Drosophila melanogaster: one gene and its partner. The protein of the gene in region 1 interacts with the protein of each later gene in a pairwise test. Each region holds a gene or a part of one and is shown on either strand. Other genes may lie near its edges.

The links. Proteins that work in one complex are often made in the same cells at the same time.
Region 2: the proteins of sens-2 (region 1) and OdsH interact in a two-hybrid assay, tested with the Drosophila melanogaster proteins (one large-scale study listed by BioGRID).

What each region holds. Positions count from the first base shown.
Region 1 is NT_033779.5:6,820,228-6,824,953, reverse strand, and holds the start of sens-2 (senseless-2), read right to left. Parts: upstream 3,021-4,726; 5' UTR 2,355-3,020; coding exon 1,895-2,354; intron 1-1,894.
Region 2 is NC_004354.4:17,789,483-17,794,034, forward strand, and holds the start of OdsH (Ods-site homeobox), read left to right. Parts: upstream 1-1,527; 5' UTR 1,528-1,584; coding exon 1,585-1,966; intron 1,967-4,552.

The DNA.
Region 1 (4,726 bases):
ATATTCCAACAAACAAAGCGAAATTCATTTTCTCTAGAGAAAGAATAAGGTTGGAAAAGAGGGGGGGGGGGAAGTCGGGGTGCTTGTCGCGGCAAACGGAATTGAAAATTCAGTGTGCGAGTGTGTGTTTGCGTGCGTCTGTGTGTGTGTGTGTCTGGTGTGTGTGTCTGCTTTTCCGCATATCCATGTCTGTGCTGGAAGCGGTGGAGAGCTAAAAACATATCCGTTGGATACATGTAATGCCGGTAAATGAAATCCGCTTGTCGCTGCCCTGTGTGTGTTGATTCTGTATCTGTGTGTGTGTGTGAGTGGGGAAATATGGGAGGGAAGATAGACTGAGAGAGGGGAGATACACTCACACACACATGACGGTCAGTGCTGACAGCTTGGCTGGAAAAGTCCGAATCTACTTAAAGTTTGGAAAAAGGAGACACAGCTGTCTGCATCTAGCTAGTGAAAGATTAAAACAAAATTGGTTCATACTGAAATCCATTTTATAAGGAATTTAATTTCTTAAAGTCCTTTTAAAGCCAAATTGTTCGGTTCATTTCGGACAACACTGAAGCTTGTGGATCCCGTGCGAACGCTCATTCATTCATTCAATGCCCATATTTGAAATTCAACAGCGATGGCGATGACAACGCCGTCTGCACACAGATACACAAGCACACTTGTGTGTGTGGATGTATCTGGACTGGACTGGACTGAACTGTGTATCTACAAGTTTGTTCGATGGTTTGCCGTTCGCAGCCGTATCTGTATCTGTGTATCTGTGGTCCAGCTATGGATTTTTCAATCCCCGATATCCATTTTTCCGCCCCAATGTCCGCACAGAAGATTTGCCCATTAAGCGTCGCGCTCACTCACACACACACACACACACACACACACACAAACGGAATAATGAATATCCCGGCCAGCTCCTGCTGCCCCCGAACAATTTTTGCTTTCCACGCTTTCCCACCGTACTTGGGCTTTTTTCCAATTAAACCGACACCGTGCAGCCTTTGGGCTTTCACTCGGACATGGCCAGTGTGTGATATTTTAAAATCACACATTATTCAAATAAATTTTTAAAAATTCCTACATTGCCCGCTGACCAGCCTTTGGGGGATTTGTAGCCACTCGCCGCGGATTGGAGTCTCACCGTTTCTGTTTCGGTTTCTGTGTTGTTGATTTCAGTCCCTTTTGTTTTCATTTTTTTTTTTAATTAACTCGGGGCATATGAAATGTGGTGGGAGTGTGATTGGGTTTATGCCAATCTGTTCGCAGGCTGCACAAAAATTTAATTTGATAAATGTTGATACTCAGAAATGCGCTGAATATCATTCACTGCATTTTTTTTTAACGATCTATTGATTTACTAATATTTAAATAGAGTAAATTCTTCAGAAATCTCTGAGAAACTTGGTCAGATTTAATTTTAAGGAATTATTTTATTTAAATATTAAAATCTATATTTGATGAATTTTTCTAGCAAAATTTTGAAATATTTACGAGACTACTTAATTTTTTAGAAATACAAAATGATAACTTTCTAAATGGAATAAATAATATGCAATTGGAATATGCATCTATATTTATATGTGGAAGGCTTTTTTTGAAATACGAAGTAATTAATTATTGATACAATTTATAGTGATTGTATAAATAAATTGCCACAGGTTTGCCACTGAATTTCAATAAATATAAATCATCACATATAAAAATGAGCAATCAACCACATTCAAAAGTGAATTATTTGGAGACAATGAACTTGATACGATTTATGCACTTAACAAAATTTTACAGAACTCAATTTCACTTAGTGACAAGAACTAAAATCCCAATTGCTGACGGATTTTCAAAGCTTTTACGATTGAGCATGCAAATATAGTGAGTGATTCCGGCTTACCGTCGGAGTTTCGCTTCTTGGGCAGCACCGCTTTGAAGGCGGACATAGGCGCGTACTCGTGCGGCGACGTGGAGGCCGGCGGCATCTGTGGCTGCGGGTGATTCGGATTGGGATTGGGATTCTGTGCCGGCTGCTGCTGGTGGTGGCCCAAGGCCGCGTCCGCGGACATCTGTATGCGCTGGTGAAGCAGCTGGGTGGGCGAGGGTATCGTGGCCATGGCCGTCAGCGCGCTGAGATCGCGCACCTGCAGCGGAACGGTGGCGGCGGCGGAGGAGGAGGCGGAATTGGAGGCCGACGAGGATTGCTGGCTGGTGAGGAAGGGTCCGGGAAAGTCAGACGCGATGGCTGGCTTAAAGTTGCCCAGGCTGTAGTCGAGGGGCAGGTGGTGTTGGTGGGCGGGCGGTGCGGCCGGATGCAGCAGATGCTGACCGGAAGTGGCTTGCATTTTGGCCACGTCCATAACGGTTTTATCACTGATTCAATAAGTTTTTTTTTTCTATATGTTTATCTTTGGATTAGCTTAGGCTTTTATCAGCTGGCTTTGGTTCTTTTGATTTGGCACTGAAACTGTTTGGTTTTTACGCGACGGCATGCGAATGCGGTTACGGTGGCGTATACGCAACGTGGCTACCGGAAGGAAGTGTCACAGATTTAGGGCTTTAATGCTGCTGCTGCTGCTCTGACTGCTGATGCTGCTGCTACTGGGCGCATAACTGCTGGCTTCGGCGTCATCGAGCGGACTGAAGCACCGTAAAAACCTAATCACGGATCCGTGGAACGCTGACGCCGGCGCCCGACCGAGAGTGAATCTCTGCTGCCGAGCTTGGAAAACTCTGCTGGCGCCGCAGCTGCTGCTGCTTCTGGCGCTGCTGCTGCTGCTGCGGCTGCTGCTGCTCCTGCACTTGACTTTTAGCCAGGGATTCGGAGTGCGGCCAAGTGCCATATGCTGTGTATGCCAAGTGTTGCGATTTTCGCCTAGATTTGGCAGCGACGTCGACGCTGGCAGCGACGTCAGCGAGAGAACGGCTCTCGTTGTATATACGATTCGATGTGAATGCCCGCTCGGATGCGGATTGCTGCTGCTCCGATTTTACCGCTGTCAGCGAGCGTCTGCAGGCGACTGACGAGCGGAGCGGCAATCGAGTTTCCACTCAGCGGAAACGCTATCACCACCACCACTGCGTTGCGGCGATGCGAGTGCGAGCGAGACGACGGCTGGTTCCAATTGGAACGGCGGAATAATGTCCAAGTGGAATCGGAACAGCAACCACCATTTGCCATTCTCGTGGCCACGCCCCCTTTCCAGCTGGCCATGGTTAATCTGGATTTTTGGTAGCTTGTTGTTGGTATTTTTAGTGCGCATACCGCTTTGATTCGTTCAAATCAATGCCACCGCCGAACAATGGTGGCAAGTGGGTGATGGTGGGAGTTGGTTAGCGAAGTGGATGGGTGTTGGGTGGTGTGCGTGTGCTGGGCGCGTGTTTGCTGGCCTTTGGTTTGGTAATACCTGCTCTGCTTTTGGGGGCGGGCTCTCTGGATTTTCTGCGATTTTCTATCTTCTTTTTCTTTTCTTTGTAGATCAGCTCAAACCGCCATCGATTTGGTAATCGCTGTTGTCTCTGGCGTTTGAAGTGCGCCGCGCCATTTAATTTCAAGTGGTTCGTGGCACCTCGGCAAACACTAATGTCGCATTCCTCGCACTTGACTATCCCCCAATCGCCTTTGCCTTTGGCAGCTCTGACTTGGCACTTGCGATTGGTTTTTGCGCCATTAACTTCAAATGCTTTCTGCCTCGGCGAACGGTGGCTAAGTGATTTCCTGGGGGCCAAAGTTGGTTGCCACTTCGCATGGCTGTTTGATTTTATTCAGCCAAAGGGCTTTTCACCTCTTATTGTTTGCCATTTAGTTATGGCTTCAAGTGTGTAATTTCATTATCTATGCTGGGAAATTGGTTTTCATACTACTCAGCAGATACGTGACTAGAAGTAACAACAGAGAAGATTTAGATGATCTCCTTCGGGAACTATTATTAAAACAATACATTTTTAATTGTGCCAACCTTTTTAAAGGAATATATAAGCCAAATCTACCAAATGTTGAATCAAAAGTACACAATATAGGGATAGTCTTTAAGTTTAAAGCAGATGCATTTCTTAGCAGAAATTAGAATATTTTCAGTTTGAAATTCCAACAGAAAATTCTGAAAAAAAGCAGAAGCTGGTGGTTCCCCAATAGCTTCTTAATTTTGGGGGGACAACTTTGGAACAAAGCTTTCTGTGAACCATAAATTAGACAATTTTGACAGGCATCTAATTTTTTTAAAAACTCATGCATTTAATTGCGACATTAAAAGCACAACTCGGAAAACAAATGCACAATGGTGGTGGGGGATCTTTAAATGCCTTGAAAATAAAAAAAAAAAAATCGTCTGGTTGAGGCGCACATGTCGTTGGGCGCCCCTCGAAATTATGACAAATATTTACAAAACACAAAGAGCTAATGTTCCCATTTCATCGGTCGCATAAATAAGTGTTATGAGCTCCCGTTTGTCCCTCCAGTCTTCGCCACAGATTTGAATATCTTTCTGGGCGTCCCAGATCCCAGCTACGGATTATTGGTGTCACTCGGTTTTGGCATCGTTCCTCCAACACATGGCAACGATTTAAAGAATTACACACCAAATTTAGTGCGTCGAGGATGGAGTGTGAACAAGTGGAGTGCTCTTCGCTCCGATTCCCATCGGATTGGTAGAGATCCCATTCCCTATCTGCTCTACTTCCAATTAGAGAAGCGTCTACAAATCTGACTGATATGCAGAGGAGATTGACGTGC
Region 2 (4,552 bases), on another chromosome or scaffold:
CCAGGTCTTAAATTGGCCATAATCATATTAATATGAAATTTCCCCCTATTTTTTCTGTGGCCACGCCTGCCGCTGAACTATGTATGTCTCGCCCGCACTCGTGTTCACTCTCGGGCTTCTCTGACTATTGCGCTCTCTTTCGTTCGCGCTCTTTGGTGGGTTACGCTCGCACAGTCACACACACACACGCACACTGATTCACTTTAAATCAATTTTTTTGGCGTTTTTCATTTCATTTTCCCTGTTGCGCATTGCACGCTCTCGCTCGCTCTCTCTTCTCTTTTATCCCGCTCTCTCTCGCTCTTACCCGCCTTGCCTCTCTGTCGCACAATTTAGTCAGGCAGAAAAATACCATTATTGCATTGACCATTTGTGGGCCAGCGCGGGGTTAAGCGTGCGCCGCGGGGGGGTTAAGTGGGTGGTGGTGTGGGTGGTTCCAGTGGGTGGTGGGTTTTTGCGGACGGCGCCTTGGCATGTTTGTTAAGTGAAACCATTTTTCTTTTTATTGCCACGGCTGCGCTGTCGACGTCGACGCCGCCGCTGCTGCTGCTGCTGCTTCAGTCTCGTCTTCTTCTTCTTCTTCTTCTTCCGCTGGGCTCTCTGCCTTTTTTCGCTTTTCGTTTTGTTATTTCTCGCTTTGGCGCACATAAATTTGAACGTTAATGATTTTTGCTTGCAGTTTGCGCGCATGCGACCCTAAAACAACAAGAACAACAACTACAACAACGGCAGCTGACCGTCAAGTGTTGAAAATGAGCTTGTTGTTGTTGCCGCTGCGGCGGCTGCAGTAGTTGTTGTTGTTGTTGTTGCTGCAGCAGCAGGTGTCGCCATCTCACTTTTTAGCACAGACTCAAACCACGAGCAACCAACCAACATTGGTGACACTTTTTTCCCCATTTTTCCCACTGACTGTAGTGGTGCCCCCATCTCACATACACACATATGCGCATTTTTATTAAACAAACACGAAGAAGACGAAACGAACTCCATATTTTTCATTTGTACGCGCCTGTCGCGCCATCCCGCTCGCACCGACTTCGCGATTGTCTCCACAAAACTCCACAACTCGCTGGCCGTAATTTTAATTCGAATCAATTTGTTTGTCGCCGCCGCTGCACTGAGTTCAGCCTTTTGCCCAGTGGGCCGCCGATCCGCTCCACTGTGCACGCTACGCCACATTTCGCTTGCTACGTTCCACTGTGCGGCCAGGATTGTCGCCTTTTTTTTCGGTGTGTGTGTGTTTTAGTGCCTTGTGAATTGAGTCCCAACAAAAAAAAAAAAAAATCGAAGTTAACCAAAAGAGCCTGCTGATTAAAGCGAAGTTAGCGCTAACCCGAAGTAAACACTATCCTGCAGTTAACGTAAGGCTAACCAAGAGCTATGAGGGAATATCAGAAAGAAAGCAAGAAACAATCGAGTCAGTGTTGAATTGAGTTATCGAAATCATTGAGCTAGTGAGGTGACAATATTAAAGGAAAATGAACTAGTTTAATTTGCAGTGTCAGCAAAAGCATTGAATTGTGTGTGTTCATTGCAAACGAGTTAATCGCATAAATTGGGAGCTAATCAAAAGCTAAGACGAAAATGGATCAGCTAATACAACAGCTGCAACAGGCAGCTGCTGCTCGGGGACAAGTCCAACATCCCCATGGTTCATCCGCTTTGCAACTTTACGCGGCAGCAGCGGCTGTCAACATGCAAGTGAGCGGCTGGTCATCCGTTCTCAACTTGTCCATGGATGCCCCAAATCCGGAAATTAGTCCCAATTCCGTAACCAATTCGTCCTCCGTGTATATGATCCGCCAAATGGCGCTGATACAGCAAGCCAGAGTGGCCGCCGCAGCAGTGGCAATGCAGCAGCAGCAGCAACAGCAAAGGGATCTCAATCGGGAGCTTGGCATGGATCCGCACAGTGAGCAGCGTATTAAGTTGGACTCAGTGTCACCCACGCACAACATCCACGCGGGTAAGTTTGATTAATTCATAGGCGATATTACTAGCTTATTCACATTGATTGATTCGATTTCTATGTCAATATTAACTAATATTCAATGGAAAATAATGAATAGAACATAGCTCTGGTTAATAAAAGCATGCACAAAAAACCACTCTATAAACTACGCATTTCGCATTTGGCCAAAATACACGAAATTGCTGGCCAAATTTAATTACGTGAATAATCAACAAGCCGCAACAACAATTACAAGCTGGCAAAAACACACAAAGCTACACACACACGCACACACACACACGCACACACACACACATTGAAAGTCCTGGCCTGCGGGCAAATAATGTTGTTGATTTTGTTGTTGTTGCTGCCGCCTGTTGTTGATTAAAAATTGATCAAAAAACATAAAAACACACGAATTATGCATGCGCGTATTTAAATGCGTGTGTTGCGCGTGTGTGGGTGGCGCTGAATTGATTAAAAGGAGCAATTCGATTGAAATTTTATTGGTAAATTGAATAAAGTGCACGGCGGCATAAAGGCCCCGGCCGGAAAACTTGTTTTCCATTCCAATTCGGCCATTTGGAAAATGCCATTATCTGCGCAAGCTCGACGCAAAGTTAATGAATGTAATGAATGAACAAATGAGTGGGCCACAGGACATCCGGGCATAAAATGTGGGTGGTCATAAATAACGCCATTTCGGAAGTGTCCTTGCCGGGAATTACCGCTAAACGTAGGTGATTAGATGAGATCGGCTAAAATGTAGAGGACATTTTGGAATAATTACTAAAAACTTTAATGGGCTTTTATACATACTATGTTGGTGATGATATTTAATTCATTTCTGATGAGATAATCCTTTTGCCTTTAAATTAGCATATTGTAGACAAGGTAAGTTGAAATAGTGGGAAAATGTTTGACTTACTAAAAAAATGTTGAATGTCATAATAAAATGGGATAATATATTATAGGCCAGTTCAAGCAAATATTTTTCTAAGAAGTTACGCTCTTAATAAGCTGTACTTTTAAAAAAACCAACCAAAACCATTTCCAAAAAAAAAAACATCAACATTTTCTTCAAAAAAACAAAGCACTACGTTTTGTAAGCAAATATTATTTTTATATATTTTAGTTTTATCTTACACTGATTAAATATATTGCTAAGCCTTGAGATCAATGAACAAAGTGGAATCACAATTTGTGAATGGAACGAGGCACCTGGCATCGGGAAATGGGAAATGGTGCATGGGAAATGAGCAGTGACAGGTGAAGTCTTGCTTTCCTTTCGGTGTCTTTTCCTCCTTGTTTTTTTATATATTTTTTTTGCCCAGGTCACGCCCAATCCGGGAAACGCCTGTATTTCCTATTTCGTACCTCGCCCTTTGTCTTTGGTCTTTTGGCAATTGAACCACTTTTGAGGCGCATCCAATTCCGATTCCGAATTGGCCGTCTTGCTGGGCCTCATCCTCCTACTTTTCTCGACGACGACGGGAAATTAGCTGCCATTAGTCATTTTTATTGTTTTCGGTCGCGGCCCCGAAACTACAGAATACAAAAAGAATATATGTATGTAACATGGAGTAAGGCTGAAGGCTGGCAACAACCCGGTTGGCAGCGCTGTTGAGCAGCAACATGATTGTCGGAAATCGAAGCTATCGACAATCAGTCATCGAAGGAACGATCGCAAGGCAGCAGTGGAGTCGAGTGGAAGTCAGCGTTGCAGTCAGTCGAGTTCTCAGCAGCAGTCGTTCGGTCACAAACTAAGAATACTTTACATAATTACCGCATTTAGAATTAAACTAATAATTAAATTAATAATAAACAATAATAATAAACAATCTTACATGGGGGCTCGTCCAGTCCTAAATCGGTTATATGAAGGTGCAGTTGTTTAAAGAAAAAAGACATTGTTGTGTGCGTGGGTATAGTCTTTAAAAGTTGTAAAGTTGTGGCTATATCTATTGCATTTAAAGTTGGAAAAATCAGTTGTACAGATTTTGTTTGAACACAAGTCGGTAAAAGTCGGGAAAGCTGCTAGAGAGAACTGATAAAGTTGAAATTGTCGTGTGCGTGGATTTAGTCTTTAAAGTTGTAAAGTTATGGCTACGTCTACTGCATTGAAAGTTGAAAAAATCGATTGAACTCATACAGACTCAAGTCGTTTTGCTGTTGTGGAATTTAAAACAATTAAATTGCAAAGGTGGTGAAATTCGTTTCTAACGAAAATCAAAATTTGTCTTTTAACCGGTGGCGCCGTCTGCAAAATCGACTACCGTCGCGCCGTTAGAACATTGTCGTTGTTTGCTGGTGTTAGTGCCTTGTCGCGGAATGTTCACACGCACACCACCTACAAATAAAAAACTTAACACCGACCAAATACAAGCAATTCTAGAGAACGAAAGCGAGGACGAAAGCAGAAAAGAAAAAATGAACGAAGAAGATCAAAAGTTGACGCCTGTAGGAGAAGCAGAGGCAAAGAAGCAGAATAAAGACGCTAGTGCTAAAGTCGAAGAGAAATTTGAACAAATGATGAATACTCTAACCCAGAGCATGTTGGCAAAATCTAAACAAGAGGGGCAAGTAATTATCGCTGCAGAA